Linked DNA regions of Arabidopsis thaliana. The main gene of each other region encodes a partner of the protein of the gene in region 2 in a complex. Each region holds a gene or a part of one and is shown on either strand. Other genes may lie near its edges.

The links. The genes of interacting proteins can lie anywhere in the genome.
Region 1: TAF11 (region 2) and HAF2 share a complex: the UniProt entries of both Arabidopsis thaliana proteins name them as parts of the TFIID complex.
Region 3: TAF11 (region 2) and TAF6B share a complex: the UniProt entries of both Arabidopsis thaliana proteins name them as parts of the TFIID complex.

The regions. Positions count from the first base shown.
Region 1 is NC_003074.8:6,572,512-6,577,408, reverse strand, and holds the start of HAF2 (histone acetyltransferase of the TAFII250 family 2), read left to right. Parts: upstream 1-1,795; 5' UTR 1,796-1,856; coding exon 1,857-1,890; intron 1,891-2,126; coding exon of another isoform or gene 2,127-2,142; coding exon 2,143-2,367; intron 2,368-2,618; coding exon 2,619-2,710; intron 2,711-2,800; coding exon 2,801-2,975; intron 2,976-3,368; coding exon 3,369-4,479; intron 4,480-4,630; coding exon 4,631-4,833; intron 4,834-4,897. UniProt on the Arabidopsis thaliana protein: TAFs are components of the transcription factor IID (TFIID) complex that is essential for mediating regulation of RNA polymerase transcription. Core scaffold of the TFIID complex.
Region 2 is NC_003075.7:10,951,461-10,955,587, reverse strand, and holds TAF11 (TBP-associated factor 11), read right to left. Parts: upstream 2,049-4,127; 5' UTR 1,888-2,048; intron 1,810-1,887; 5' UTR 1,797-1,809; coding exon 1,480-1,796; intron 1,410-1,479; coding exon 1,322-1,409; intron 1,234-1,321; coding exon 1,134-1,233; intron 1,052-1,133; coding exon 924-1,051; 3' UTR 512-923; downstream 1-511. Other genes in the region: AT4G20290 (uncharacterized protein), read left to right, coding at 4-429; BAM3 (Leucine-rich receptor-like protein kinase family protein), read right to left, coding at 2,664-2,992, 3,117-4,127. UniProt on the Arabidopsis thaliana protein: TAFs are components of the transcription factor IID (TFIID) complex that is essential for mediating regulation of RNA polymerase transcription.
Region 3 is NC_003070.9:20,289,081-20,293,762, reverse strand, and holds TAF6B (TBP-ASSOCIATED FACTOR 6B), read right to left. Parts: upstream 3,164-4,682; coding exon 3,044-3,163; coding exon of another isoform or gene 2,975-3,043; coding exon 2,727-2,974; intron 2,640-2,726; coding exon 2,533-2,639; intron 2,462-2,532; coding exon 2,385-2,461; intron 2,306-2,384; coding exon 2,168-2,305; intron 2,076-2,167; coding exon 1,980-2,075; intron 1,884-1,979; coding exon 1,759-1,883; intron 1,676-1,758; coding exon 1,543-1,675; intron 1,333-1,542; coding exon 1,207-1,332; intron 1,103-1,206; coding exon 991-1,102; intron 902-990; coding exon 603-901; downstream 1-602. Other genes in the region: NHX5 (sodium hydrogen exchanger 5), read left to right, coding at 1-29, 113-234, 323-410; ABCD2 (ABC transporter family protein), read right to left, coding at 3,518-3,727, 3,816-4,066, 4,189-4,465, 4,543-4,682. UniProt on the Arabidopsis thaliana protein: TAFs are components of the transcription factor IID (TFIID) complex that is essential for mediating regulation of RNA polymerase transcription. Not redundant with TAF6.

The sequences.
Region 1 (4,897 bases), on a different chromosome or scaffold from region 2:
AGACTATACAATATACACCGTAACAAGTATATCCTTTAATTTTGTCATATGACAATTATTGTTCTTCTTTTTCTTTTTGGACATGGATAATTATATTTTGTTTCATTTTGGTAAATTAGGGTCCTGTTCGTTTGCCTGTGTTCGTTTGCTTGTCTGTGTTCGTTTGCCTGTCGCTGACGACTGAAACCAGCGACAACGACCAAAAGTTGTTTGTTTGCATAGCGATCAAAAGTAACGACAATCGCCAGCGACCAGCGACCGCAATTTTTGGTCGCTGAAATTTTTAGCGATCAGTCGCTGATTTCAGCGATTAGTCGCTGGTTTTAGTCGCTGGATCCAACGACATGCAAACGAACAATTTAGCGATCAAAAAATATAAATTAAAGAATAATTAAAAATAATTAAATTAAACAGAATTAAATTAAATTAAACTTAAAATAAATGTCTTTTTGCACTCTGAACGGTTGTGTCTTTTAATCGCAACTTTCCGTAAAAAATATTGATGGTTGTTTTTTCTCGCTTGTGTCTTTTATTGCAACCTTCCTATATTGTAATTTTCTGTCAAAATATTTACAGTTATTTTTTCCGGTTAGTTATATATATACTATTGAATAACTACGAAATTTAGAATATGCATCATTTGGAGTTAGATTTGTTTTAAAGAAATTATTATATAAATAAATTTATAATATTTTTCTCTGCGATATCAAGAAAGGTTTGAGTTCTAGTTTAATTAAAATAATTCTTATTAAATTAAGTTAAAATAAATTAAATTCAAATAACATAAACTAATTATAGTCAAATTAAATTTGATAAAACTAAAATAAATAAATCTATTAATTTATTTTTCTCATGGTGTATGATATATATGATTTACATTTTGATTTTAAAATATAAATTAGTACCAAAAATAATTAATTTTAAAAAAAAATATAGCGACTGTTTATAGCGACAGTCAAACGAACAACACAACGACAATTATTAGCGATTGTTGATGTAATTGGTCGCTGAGTCCAGCGACAGACAATCGAACAATATATGTTGTCGCTGGTTGCTGTCGCTGGTCGTTGGTCGCTGTCGCTGGATCCAGCGACAGGAAAACGAACAGGGCATAGGTTTTGTTTGTTTTATTTAGTATTTCTAACGTAAATTTTAAAAAAGCGCCAAAATCTAGAAGAAGAGTAATATGCGAGAAAATCACTTTTACTCTTATTTATTTACTTGTCTTGCCAAATTTCCATCAAAATTATTAATTACTTAATTATATAATTTTTGACTAATTATTTACTTTATTGGACCCGGGATATGTAACTAAATGGGCTTTTATTGGGCTGTATTCTGTGGACCATTAATAAACATAATCTTTGAAGTGCAAAAAAAAAAATGGGACCCGGGACAACTAAATCAGAATCGGGGCGGGTTATAAACTTTTCCCTATAAATTACCACTCCGATGTTAATACCCGCCTCTTTGATCCCTCAGACGATTTCTTCTTTCCGTTGTATCTTCCAATCACCCGATTGAGCTCCGCTTCACTTCCTCCGGCTAAATGTGTACATACTCTCAATTAGGAAACCGCCAATCCCACATAACGTTGAATGTCGTCGTCTCGGTTAGATATCAACGAGGGTTTTGTTCTTGGTTCCTTACTAAACAACAAAATTTGACGAAAATTGGTACTTGGGTATGAACGTTGTTATTCCCTAATTGTACCGGAAAATTTGATGGTGGTATGTTTCCCTTGTAGGTTTTCGTTGAGTCGTGGATTTGTTCTTGCTCCTGATTCTTTTCAGTAGTTCCTTTGCTATTTGGGAAGCAAAATTGTCACGCCACTCTTTGCATTCGAGGGTTTTATTATGTCTGAGTCCAACGACAACGAGACTTCCGCAGGTTATATTTGCAGTTTCTTACATGGTTTCTTCATTAGTGTATTGCATTCTCCTAGTTTTGCTCTAGTCATAATCTACTTATTGTGGGATAATTTATTGCTCAGCGTTTTGAGTTAATTAAATAGAAGGTTTTTATGTTTGAGATTTTGATATACGCAACAAGTCCCACCCATAGCAGTTACAAACTGAAACTATTTGCCACTACCAATTCCCGGTCATCAGCTTCACTGACTTGTGATGATATGTCGTGTAGATTATGGGAGCAATGATGAAGAGTATGATGGGCCTGAGCTTCAAGTAGTTACTGAGGAAGATCACCTACTACCAAAAAGAGAGTACTTATCAGCTGCATTTGCTTTGAGTGGTTTAAATTCCAGAGCTTCTGTGTTTGACGACGAAGATTATGATGAACAAGGAGGACAAGAGAAGGAACATGTACCAGTTGAGAAATCTTTTGATTCAGAAGAGAGGGAACCAGGTTTGCTTTTGAAATTTCCGTTTCTTGAACAAAACGATTAGCACACTCTATTCTCTACTTTTGTTTTGTCATTTCATTAATCTCAGATTGGTTTAGTTTTCTCAACACTTATACTTGTTTAGCTCGGGAAAATAATCTCTTGTTAAGTTGGAGTCCAGTGCGTCATAAATACTAGAGATCAGAACTCTTGGAACTTTTCTTAGATTCCTTTTGTGTTAGTGATTATGAGACACTAAACATTATTTTCGCAGTTGTCTTGAAGGAGGAAAAGCCCGTAAAGCATGAAAAGGAGGCTAGCATCTTGGGAAATAAGAATCAGATGGACACAGGAGATGTCCAGGAGGTCAGCAAGAATGATTTCGGTGTCTCAGATAACATCTTTTTTTGTTGTGGAATGATTTTGTTCTGTTAGTGATCTCATTGAAACGTTCAGGAGTTGGTGGTTGGATTATCAGAAGCTACTTTGGATGAGAAACGTGTCACCCCGCTGCCTACGTTATATCTTGAAGATGATGGTATGGTCATCTTACAATTCTCTGAGATATTTGCTATACAAGAGCCACAGAAGAAACGGCAGAAGAGAGAAATTAGATGTATCACTTATAGAGGTATGTGATCTGCAACGGCTTCCTAATTTTGTTTATTCTCAAAAGCCTTTGAATTTTTTGTGCTTTCCATTGGGATGTTAAAATCTACAACAACAATGATTTCTCAAGATTTTCAGTATCTCCCGTTCAATTCTAAAAGCCATTAGGTGTCGAAAGCATGAGAAGTTTTTTGTATGTGGCTCTGTCTTTTCTTGGCAAGAATTTAGTAGATATGTATATTTGGTGCTTCTGAAATGATATACATTATTTTCTCTGTTTCTCTCGTTATCTCTCTGCATTGTTCTTTTCTGTTTGTAATTCATCACTTCTTTTAATGTAACTAGAATAGCTGAGAAAGTTCTATGAAAACAATTATCATATGAGACTCTTACATCATAGCCTTCTTTGGTACAGACAAATACATATCTATGGATATTTCTGAGCTTATCGAAGACGATGAGGAGGTACTCCTGAAGAGCCATGGTAGGATTGACACTCATGGGAAAAAAACTGATCAAATTCAGCTGGATGTTCCCTTACCAATCAGAGAGCGTTCACAGCTGGTAAAATCTGGCATAGTAAGGGATACTACATCAGAATCGAGAGAGTTTACCAAGCTAGGAAGGGATTCATGTATCATGGGTGAACTGTTGAAGCAGGACTTAAAAGACGATAATTCATCTCTCTGTCAGTCTCAATTAACAATGGAAGTTTTCCCTCTAGACCAGCAAGAATGGGAACATCTAATACTCTGGGAAATTTCTCCTCAATTTAGTGCTAATTGTTGTGAGGGCTTCAAATCTGGACTTGAGTCAGCAGGTATAATGGTACAGGTGAGGGCTTCAAATTCAGTGACTGAACAAGAAAGCTTAAATGTGATGAACTCTGGAGGGCAAACTCAAGGGGACAATAACAACATGCTCGAGCCTTTTTTTGTAAATCCGTTGGAGTCTTTTGGCTCAAGAGGTTCCCAGTCTACAAATGAGTCCACTAACAAAAGTAGACATCATCCACAACTCCTTAGATTAGAATCTCAGTGGGATGAGGATCATTATAGGGAAAATGGCGATGCTGGACGGGAGAATTTAAAGCAGCTTAATAGTGACGCTCGTGGGCGCTTGAGTGGACTTGCATTGCAAGATAGGGATATGTGGGATGAGTCATGGTTAGATAGCATAATATGGGAGTCAGATAAAGATTTGAGCAGGTCTAAACTAATATTTGATCTTCAAGATGAGCAAATGATCTTTGAAGTTCCGAACAATAAGGAAAGAAAATATCTTCAACTTCATGCTGGATCTAGGATTGTATCTCGATCTTCAAAATCCAAGGACGGATCCTTTCAAGAAGGCTGTGGATCAAATTCTGGGTGGCAATTCAATATTTCTAATGACAAATTCTATATGAATGGGAAAAGCGCTCAGAAACTGCAAGGAAATGCTAAGAAATCTACCGTACACAGTTTGAGAGTTTTCCATTCGGCACCAGCGATTAAATTGCAGACGATGAAGATCAAATTGAGCAAGTAAGTGAGTCATTTGAATTTTTACATCTTATTGTATTTGTACGCTTCATTGTTACATTCGTGTGTGGTCTCAATGTTGCCACTGGATATATTTTTTAAATACATTTTTTTAGTGGTTTATGTTAAAAAGTTTTGATTTAACTCATTGCAGTAAAGAGAGAGCAAATTTTCACCGGCCCAAAGCTCTGTGGTATCCACATGACAATGAGCTAGCCATAAAGCAGCAAAAAATTTTACCCACCCAAGGTTCCATGACAATTGTTGTTAAGAGTCTGGGGGGTAAAGGATCACTGCTAACCGTCGGCAGAGAGGAATCTGTCTCTTCTTTAAAAGCCAAGGCTTCTAGAAAGCTAGGTTGTTTGTTTTCCTTTCATTTTTTGTCTACCCCATTATGACATGGATTCTATTTGGAGAACAT
Region 2 (4,127 bases):
AGAATGAAAAAAGAAGGGAAAAATATTTGTGTAGAGAGAAAAGAGAGAGGAGGAGAAGAGAAGAAACGGAGGCGCTCTGCGTTAAACAGTGAGGAGGATGAAGAAGAAGAAGAAGAAGAAGGAAGGCGGAAGGGAAGGAGAAAGATAGTGGGTGCGTTATTGTGTCAAAACTTCTTTTATTCTTTTTATTTTTCCAATCCAGTCCTTTTATTTTCTGTAGACTTTCAATTCGCAACCCACTTTGTTTTCTTCTCTTCACGTAATAGTTCGTTTCGAGATCGGCCCATTATCAGGCCCACTAGATCCTCTTTCGCCGGAACTTGTGTGATTCAAAACGTCTCCGTACCAATTTTGACAGTAGACCGAATTCTGATCGCGACGGTTTTCAATCACGCCGAAGAAATACACAATTTGAATTTGAACTTATAAACCCAGTTCTTGTAATGTTCGACCAAAAACGAATCAATACTAAAACCAATTTTTAGGTATAGCCAAATTTAACCAAATAAACCGGATTACAAATGATTTTATTTGATTTCGAATTCTATAAAACCGGAAATGAAACCGAATCCAACCTAGTAAACCGGATTGCCACTTTTAGGCCATGTGGTCTGTAGTCAAAGATTGATCTTGTATTGAAAATGAAAACTGGAAACGTAAACCAAATAAAAACCAAACCGTAAGACTGATAGCCATTTCAGGGTCTGTATCCAAAGATTGATTTACTACAAAAGTTGTCACACAAAGTTAAGAACATCAAAGAACAATATGATCCACCAGGGAAGCCAAAGAAGTTCTCCTTTATGATGAGATTGATAGGCAAATCTCGCCAGCTTAAACCTGCCGTAGACCCTTATCCTTGAGCAGCATTGGTAAATTCCCCAGTCTTAGGCTGATATAAGTTCTCTTTTGGCTCTTGTTGACTAGCGGAAAAGGCGTGGAACTGATCTTTTAGGCACTTTTCCTTCGAGCTTTAGTCTCCGATAAGACTCCCTGATATGACAAGGTCTGATAGGTCCTGATTCTTTCCTTTCCGCCATAACAACTCGAGCTACAGATAATGTATTGAGGTTCAGTAAATGAGCTTTGTTGGCACATAAACAAAATCATTGGAAATTTTTGCACTGGCTTACCTGTTTCAACGAGTTCACCAACGAACATCTTTGCAATACCACACGCAACAATAATCATTGGCATACCAATCTTCTGACTACCAGTGACACCTATCAATAACTGCATTAACATAAAAGCTAAATGGTTCATATTTGCAATGAAACAAAATTAAGAATGTTGATAACCACAAATCATATAACATATATACCTTCTTCATCTGTGGTCTTTGAAGTGCAGATCTCCTAAAAGATTCATATCTACTCATCTGATCCTCAGTGAATTGCGATAATATGGTTCTGAAGAATTCAACAAACAATCAATCATCAAAGAAACATGAAGAACAATCAAAATTCTACAAAGACTCACTGCATTTTGGCCATTTTAGCAGGATCAGAACTAGTTGGATATTTAGTAAGCTCAACATCCATATTCTCTTCCTCTTCTTCATCATCTTCATCTTTATCTTTGTTCTTAGCTTCAGTAACAACAACAGAGGTTTTAGCTTTCTTCATCGGACGGCGAACATCCACAGGTCTCTCATCTTCATCTTGAGTCTGGTCGATTTCAATTCGTCCGTCTTCACTACCATCACCTCCTCCTCCTCCGCCAACGGGTGATTCCGGTGGCGATTCCTCTTGCTCTTCCTCAATCGCTGCTTCAAACGGATCCTTTGAATGCTTCATTCCTGATTAAAACCTAAACGAAAAAATCACATAATTGAGATCTCAAATTAGGGTTTAGAACGAAGCAAATTGCTACGGATCATTGACGAACCTTGAAGGTGAAACTCAGATCGAATTTCAAGAGACACGAATCTCTAGACCGTTGTTAACAACAACTGGGAGCTCCACAATCTTCCAGGCGGAGAGGAAAATTCATCGACTGTGTTCAATTTCAAGCTTTTCTATAGGAGTGTAGCGACTGTTATAAGTCGGTTTAGTCCAATCAATTGGTGGATCAAAAGAAAAGATCTGAACCGGTTTTTGTTAAACCAACCCAAAAAGTTTCGAGAACCACATCATTGGATTTGGGCTGGGCTCAGTTCAAAACCACTGAATAACTAACTGGTTTTTTTTTTTGGAATACAATGTTGGGATAACGATTTACAACTAGCCAAATGTTATAAATCGAGCTAGACAACAAAATTAAAAATATCAATGATAGTGAATTGGATACTAAAAAGTAAAAACACTCAAATGCTAACTATTTCTATAGATATTGGATAATCATATGTTAAATCAAATGCTTGAGTGATTTCAACATTTTTCTTTGGTCATCATGATTTTTATAATTCCAAATGAATCAAAGAACAGTTATCTATTTTTTCAAATCTTTCACATAATTCATAATTTTCTAGCAAATGTTATTTAGTTTTGCTTGATACTTTATGATAGGAAGATATAATGCTAACCCTTTTTTTCCTCCTCAATTTCAATATAAACTCATATCACCACCAAACCATCATTACAAATTCTAAAAACAAAACTCTATGAAACACATAAAACAGAAAAATATATATTTAGTCTCTTATATATATAACATCACTGCATTTAGAAAGTATTAGGCTGTTTAGCCTGAGAGATCATCTGGACAACCTCTCTCATGGTCGGTCTCTCAACACTATGTTCTTGCACACATAGCATTGCCACAAAGAACAGTTCCATGGCCTCTGCTAATGGAATATTGCTCAATCTCTGGTCAATGATCTTCACCACACCTTGTCTGTTACAGTTTGTTTGGATCTTTGACCATTGCACAATGTCTATCCCTTCTTCCCCAAAATTATCTACTGGTTTTCGACCCGTAATCAGCTCCAATAACACTACTCCGAAGCTGTACACATCGCTCTTCTCGTCTATTCTCAGTGTATATGCATATTCTGCATTCAAGAAACGGATAAAATGGGCTAAGATCAATCATACGTTTTAACTAGAAGTACTGAAATCCTAAGTTTGAATGTTACGTGTGATACAAGAAAGTAGTATTAGGAATCAGTCATGTACCTGGAGCGATGTAGCCGTACGAGCCAGCGATCGAGGACATGCACTCGGAAGCTCCATTGTCTTGCATCATAAACTTAGCAAGCCCAAAATCAGCAACATGAGCTTCAAACTCAGGACCCAACAAGATGTTGTTTGACTTCACATCACGGTGGATTATAAGTGGCGAGCAATCATGGTGAAGATAACACAACCCCTTAGCCGCTTCCAACGCTATTTGCAACCGTGTTTCCCATTTCAAAAACACTCCAGCTTTCCCGTGCAAGACTTCTCCGAGGCTACCATTAGGCATATACTCGTAAACAAGGAGATTCACGTCTTTGTTTGAACAAAAAGCGAGCAATCTCACTATGTTTCTGTGTCTGATTCTACCTAATGTCTGAATCTCTGCGGCTAAACCGTTGTCATGAGATGATCCTTTGGTTATGGTTAAGAGCTTCTTGACTGCAACTTCTTCTCCGTTTGGCATTACCCCTTTGTAGACAATCCCTCGTCCGCCTTTCCCAATCACATGGTTCTCTTTAACACATTCTAATATGTGTTCGCTTCTGAAACCGAGCTTCTGAAACCCTATAAGCTTCCATAAATTCGGGTTGTTCTTTCTCATTCTCCTATTCTTGACCACAGCTAAAACGACGAACACCAAGAAAAACCCTAGTAGGCCTAACCCGAAGAACAACTTGAATTTTGCGGAGATTTCACCTCGGGATCTTGCGTTGTTCTGGTTAAGTAGCTGAGATTGAGATTGGTTTTGGGAACCGTTGCAAGGGTTTGAAGAAAATCCACAGAGAAAAGGGTTTCCAAGGAATGACGTGTTGTTGAAGTAAGAGAATTGCCCTGAAGTTGGTACTGAACCGGAGAAGTTGTTGTGTGAGAAATCTGCTGATGTTAAACTCTTCATGTATCCGAGTTCGTTGGGAAGGCTTTGGTTAAAGGAATTCCAAGAAACATTCAGATAGTTTAGAATCCGAATCTGCGATATCTGAACCGGAATCTGACCGGAAATCTGGTTGT
Region 3 (4,682 bases), on a different chromosome or scaffold from region 2:
GTGACGATCTTGATGACTCCATGTCTGAAGTAAACTCTCGACGATCTACTCTAATATCTTTGAAGTAAAGTTGTGTATGTACTTTTTCTAACGCTCCCAGATACGTGGTTAGGGCTTTGAAGAGAGCGATCATCAGTATGTCCCTCCTCCTTTTAGCATTGGAGCTTCATCTGACGAGGATACATCATCATCAGGAAGCAGGTTCAAGATGAAGCTGAAGGAGTTTCACAAAACGTAAGAATAAGAGAATGGCTTAGTATGTTTTCCTGAGTAAAAAGCGATATTTGCAATTTTTTGGGACTCACTTGACAAAACTTTGCAGCACTACATCATTCACCGCGTTGGACAAAAACTTTCTGACTCCGTTCTTCACAACTAATAGTGGAGATGGAGATGGAGATGGGGAGTAGCATGGAAAAGATGTGTATTTGTGGTCCAGGCCAAGCTATAATTAGAGTACACATATGTCTATGTAAGATTAACACTGGTTGATTTTACCTCTCGCAAAATGCCCACTATAAAGTTGACGATTTCCAAGACATTTCGAAATATTATATAGATGTATTTATTGTGGTACATACAATTACCATGTCAATAATCTATTACAAGAAGAAACTGAGCTCATGTGTGGGGGTGAACATAAGCATGCTCTCACCAAAATACTCAAAAAGAGGAAAGAGATAGTTGTCGACGTCAGTGCCTGCAGCAGCTGAAGTCTTCGGAGCAATTGTTGAGGGACTATTGTGGTGCCGTGCATCTGCATCTGTGTGGGACTGTTGAGGGACTGTTGTGGTTCCGCGCATCTGCATTTGTGTGGAGCTCATTTGTATAATTCCCCCTACTGCTATCTTCTTCAGTGGTGGTTGATGAGTTAAGTTGTCACTGCTTGCTTTGCGTTTACCTTGGCCGAAGAAAAAAATTATTTAAGAACGCGTATCTCCGTGTTTAGAACGCCAAAAGAAAAAAAAAGAATGAGACCAGATTTTATACTTTGCCTGGGGCTGGTGAGCTTTCCATTTGTCTTCCAGACAGAGCTAGTTGGAGGAGACAGCAGTGTCTCAGATGTTTTAAGCCGTTCATATAGGCATCGACCAGCTGCCACCTATGGAAAGTTAAAGTTTATATGCTCTCCTGCCTGTTTTGCAACACGAGATTGAAAGCAAACAAGTTTTCTAATTTCTGTATCAAACTAGAAAGCATACTCACCATCAACGCTCCATAAACAAGCCAAGCCCCATGCCTCTTAGCTTCTTCCTTCTGCTTCTCAAGTCCCATTTCAGGTAAAAGAAGCAGCAAATACGGCCCTAGGTTTGGGAGAACAAGAAAGCGAACCTAGACAAAGGTATAAAGCAAGAAAATACTTACGGACGACCAAAGGATATATATCTTAAGGTTCAATTGCAGGTTTAATAACTTTATCGAGGATGTCGGATCATGCTACTATTAGTTTTAAACTTATGCTTTCTTATGTAAAAATTCTAGACGCACAACCTAAAGTGCTACTCTTCGTTATGATAATCAAGAAGCATCAAGAGGAAGTACCATATTAAGCCCAAGGGCTACCATCCCTTGAATTGCCCCATAGTGTTGTGGGAGTGCCTTGGTTGGGTCCAAAAAGGTATGAAGCAGTGATCTTGTGACACGTGGCAACAAATTGTGATAAACGTGTCCAAACCTGTAAAAAGTTCACTAATGTGATTGCAAGTTATATGGTTGTATAAGATGCATGAAATCACAAAGCAAGAATGTAACATTAACCTTTTGCACGTTGAAGCAACTGTGCTGGCAGTGAAGTTTCTCAAGTCCCAGTGATTATCAGATGACCTTCTTCCTAAGCGCTTGGCAATAAGGCAAGTGATAATAGACGGCATCAACTGATGCAGCTGAACAGAATACAACAAGTTAAAAGTCAACAGAAGGAGGAGAAGGGAGAAGAGAAACAAAAAAAAACAAAAAAAAAGTGTGCGCACAAAACTTACATATGGCTCAATATGTACATGAGGGTTATGAAGGAGGCTTCTAGCAAGACGCATCAAAGCCAACAAGATTGGATAATTATCCATGTTTTTGACAATCTGGAGAAATTGCAAGCACAAAAAAAGTAGTGAAAATGTGGTCAAGTTAGAATAAAAGTCAAGACTAGAAGTGTTGGATTACAAAGACAAACCTCTTCAGCGATGAAAGAAGTGAAAAAGGGAACTAATGGGTGGAGTCCAGGATCAATTTCCAAGCTGGCGAGTGCTTGTCTAAAGAGGGTGGAGCCAGATTGAGTCAAAGCCCACTCCGTGACTTTGTCAAAGTAAATCTGCATCGAGAGCAAGCAAGGATTATATAGCATTCAAAGAGCGAGGTAAAGACCCAAAAAAAGAAGGGAGTAAAATAACCTGAAGGTCCTTAGAAAGCACCTGTCTAGCAGCCAAGCCATCGTCCTTATATTCCGATCGTTTAAGGTCAGATATGGCTACAAATTGTCATGGAAGAGGGATTAGAAGGAGAAGTAGTAGGTGATGCAAAAGAAGACAAAAGAAATACCTTGGAGAGGAGAATTCTGTGGAATGGAAGGTTGAATACCATCAATTGCCAACCAATGAGAAAACAGATGCATCAGGAGGTGCATTTGGTAGAGGAGCTTCGATAACCTGCACAAGAGACCATGAAGGGAAGCTTAATAACAATAAACAACATTTCACCATCTTCTTCATTCATGGCCAATCAATGAAGCTTACATTCTTGAGCTCGACATCTTTGTCATCGAAGAAGTATAGATCTCTGTTCTCAGGAGCTCTCTTGAACCGCATACTTTTGGAGCCAGAGGTAGGCTATACAAAAAAAAGTCAAAATCAGGGTCAACGGTATGAAATAAAAGAAGAAGAGAGGAAGAGGAAACCTCCAAATTCCTGAAATGAAGAGCAGAATCGACATCATGAGCCATTAAAGTGGTGCGTCGAGCATGACGCATGCATTTGATAGCTTCCTGGAGATTGCGACGACAAGTTAAAGAGGAGATTAGAGGGCAAAAGTAAAGTTGAAGTTGATGATATACCTGCATGACCTCTCGGACGCGATACTCGACATCGGGAGCAAGAGCGGCTGAGACGTCCGGAGAAAGAGTGGAGAGTCCAATGCTCTGAGCTATCACTTCAATGGATTCTTTCGTCACCATCCTCCTTGCGCCTTCTTTCTTTTTCGACTTTGAGCGACTGAGTCGAGTCAGTCGTGTTACATTTTCTCACTCTATCAGGCTTTCTCAAATGGGCCCATCGTTAGATTTATTGGGCTTATGATAAATACTCAGCCGGTTTTGAATTTTTAGCTCATCTCGCGTGTTATTTTTAATCAGAACTTCGTTGCACTCGTATCTGTATCAATCTCTCTATTTACTTGCATCTTCAGTCAACGTCAAGTCTGGTAGATTATATACAAAATGGACACCAAACATGTTTCTTATATGTTTCATGACACCCGTTTGCAGATTTACCTGCTGCTTCTGTCTCTTATGTAATCAATCAGGTTTTGATCAGCTTTCACTTGGCACCTCCTTTTGATTCAATCTACCGTACAAAGAATCTTGGGCATCCACGTCCTCTATTCGCCAGTTACGTTCATTGCTCTTCGGGTCTGCCGTTGAGATTTGTAAGATCTTGTTATGGAATTTCGTTAAAGTCCGGCGGTGGCCAATGCTTATATATGTAATGCCAGCCGACTGGATTTGCTGGTACAGGAACGCCTGGGCATCAAGAGGAATTTTAATGGCTCAACGCTACATGTACATGATATTATTCTAAATGATAGATGAGAGGAGAACCAACAAGTACCTCATTAGCTTCATCCAACGCACTGGTGGATTCATCCAGGAGCGCCAGCTTTGGCTGAGACAGCAATAACCGTGCAAAGGCAAGGCGCTGCTGCTCACCAAGTGAGAGAACACTGGACCACTCGTGTATCGAATCAAGACCACCAAAGCGATCCGCTATATGTCCAAGACAAACCTTCTCTAGAGTCCGCATCAGATCATCTGTTGTCGGCTTTTCATTTCCGTCCTCTCTAATCAGCAGAGGTGGTGAACCTAACAAAATCAACGCATTTTTTCTTCAGTCGATTTGCTTTTGGGTTCTATAATCTGCTTGCATAAACTTAAATGGAGTTGAAAGAAATGGTTGTTACTAGACACAAATTTAAACTGAGTACCGTCAATATTACTGCCACCAGGTGTCGTCTCCTCCACAGTTGCACTCCAGGTAGGATAAAGCAATTGCTGACGCAAAGATCCCAGAACCATATAAGGCCTTTGTGGAAGGAACAATACGTCTCCTCTTTTCCCTGAATTTTCCTGAGTATCAGATTTCTCCTGTGTAAAATCTACCTCAGGATCGAGGTAGAACGTGATTTTTCCTTTCCCTGACCTCCAAAGACCAGCCATTGCTCTTAGCAGCGAAGTTTTTCCACTCCCACTAGGACCCATTATCTGTTAAATGGCATTTTTAAGTAACTTCCAATCTACCAGTCACATGCTTTAAACACAAGTAGTCAAAGTGAACTAACCAGTAGGTGATCCTTGTCATATACATCTGCAGATAAGTTGTGAACCAATGTGGTTCCGTTTGTTGGTGTCTGAAGAGTAAGCTCCTCGATCTCCAGACGCTTTTGGTTCGGTTGGGACTTGATTGAACCATTGGTGTCCA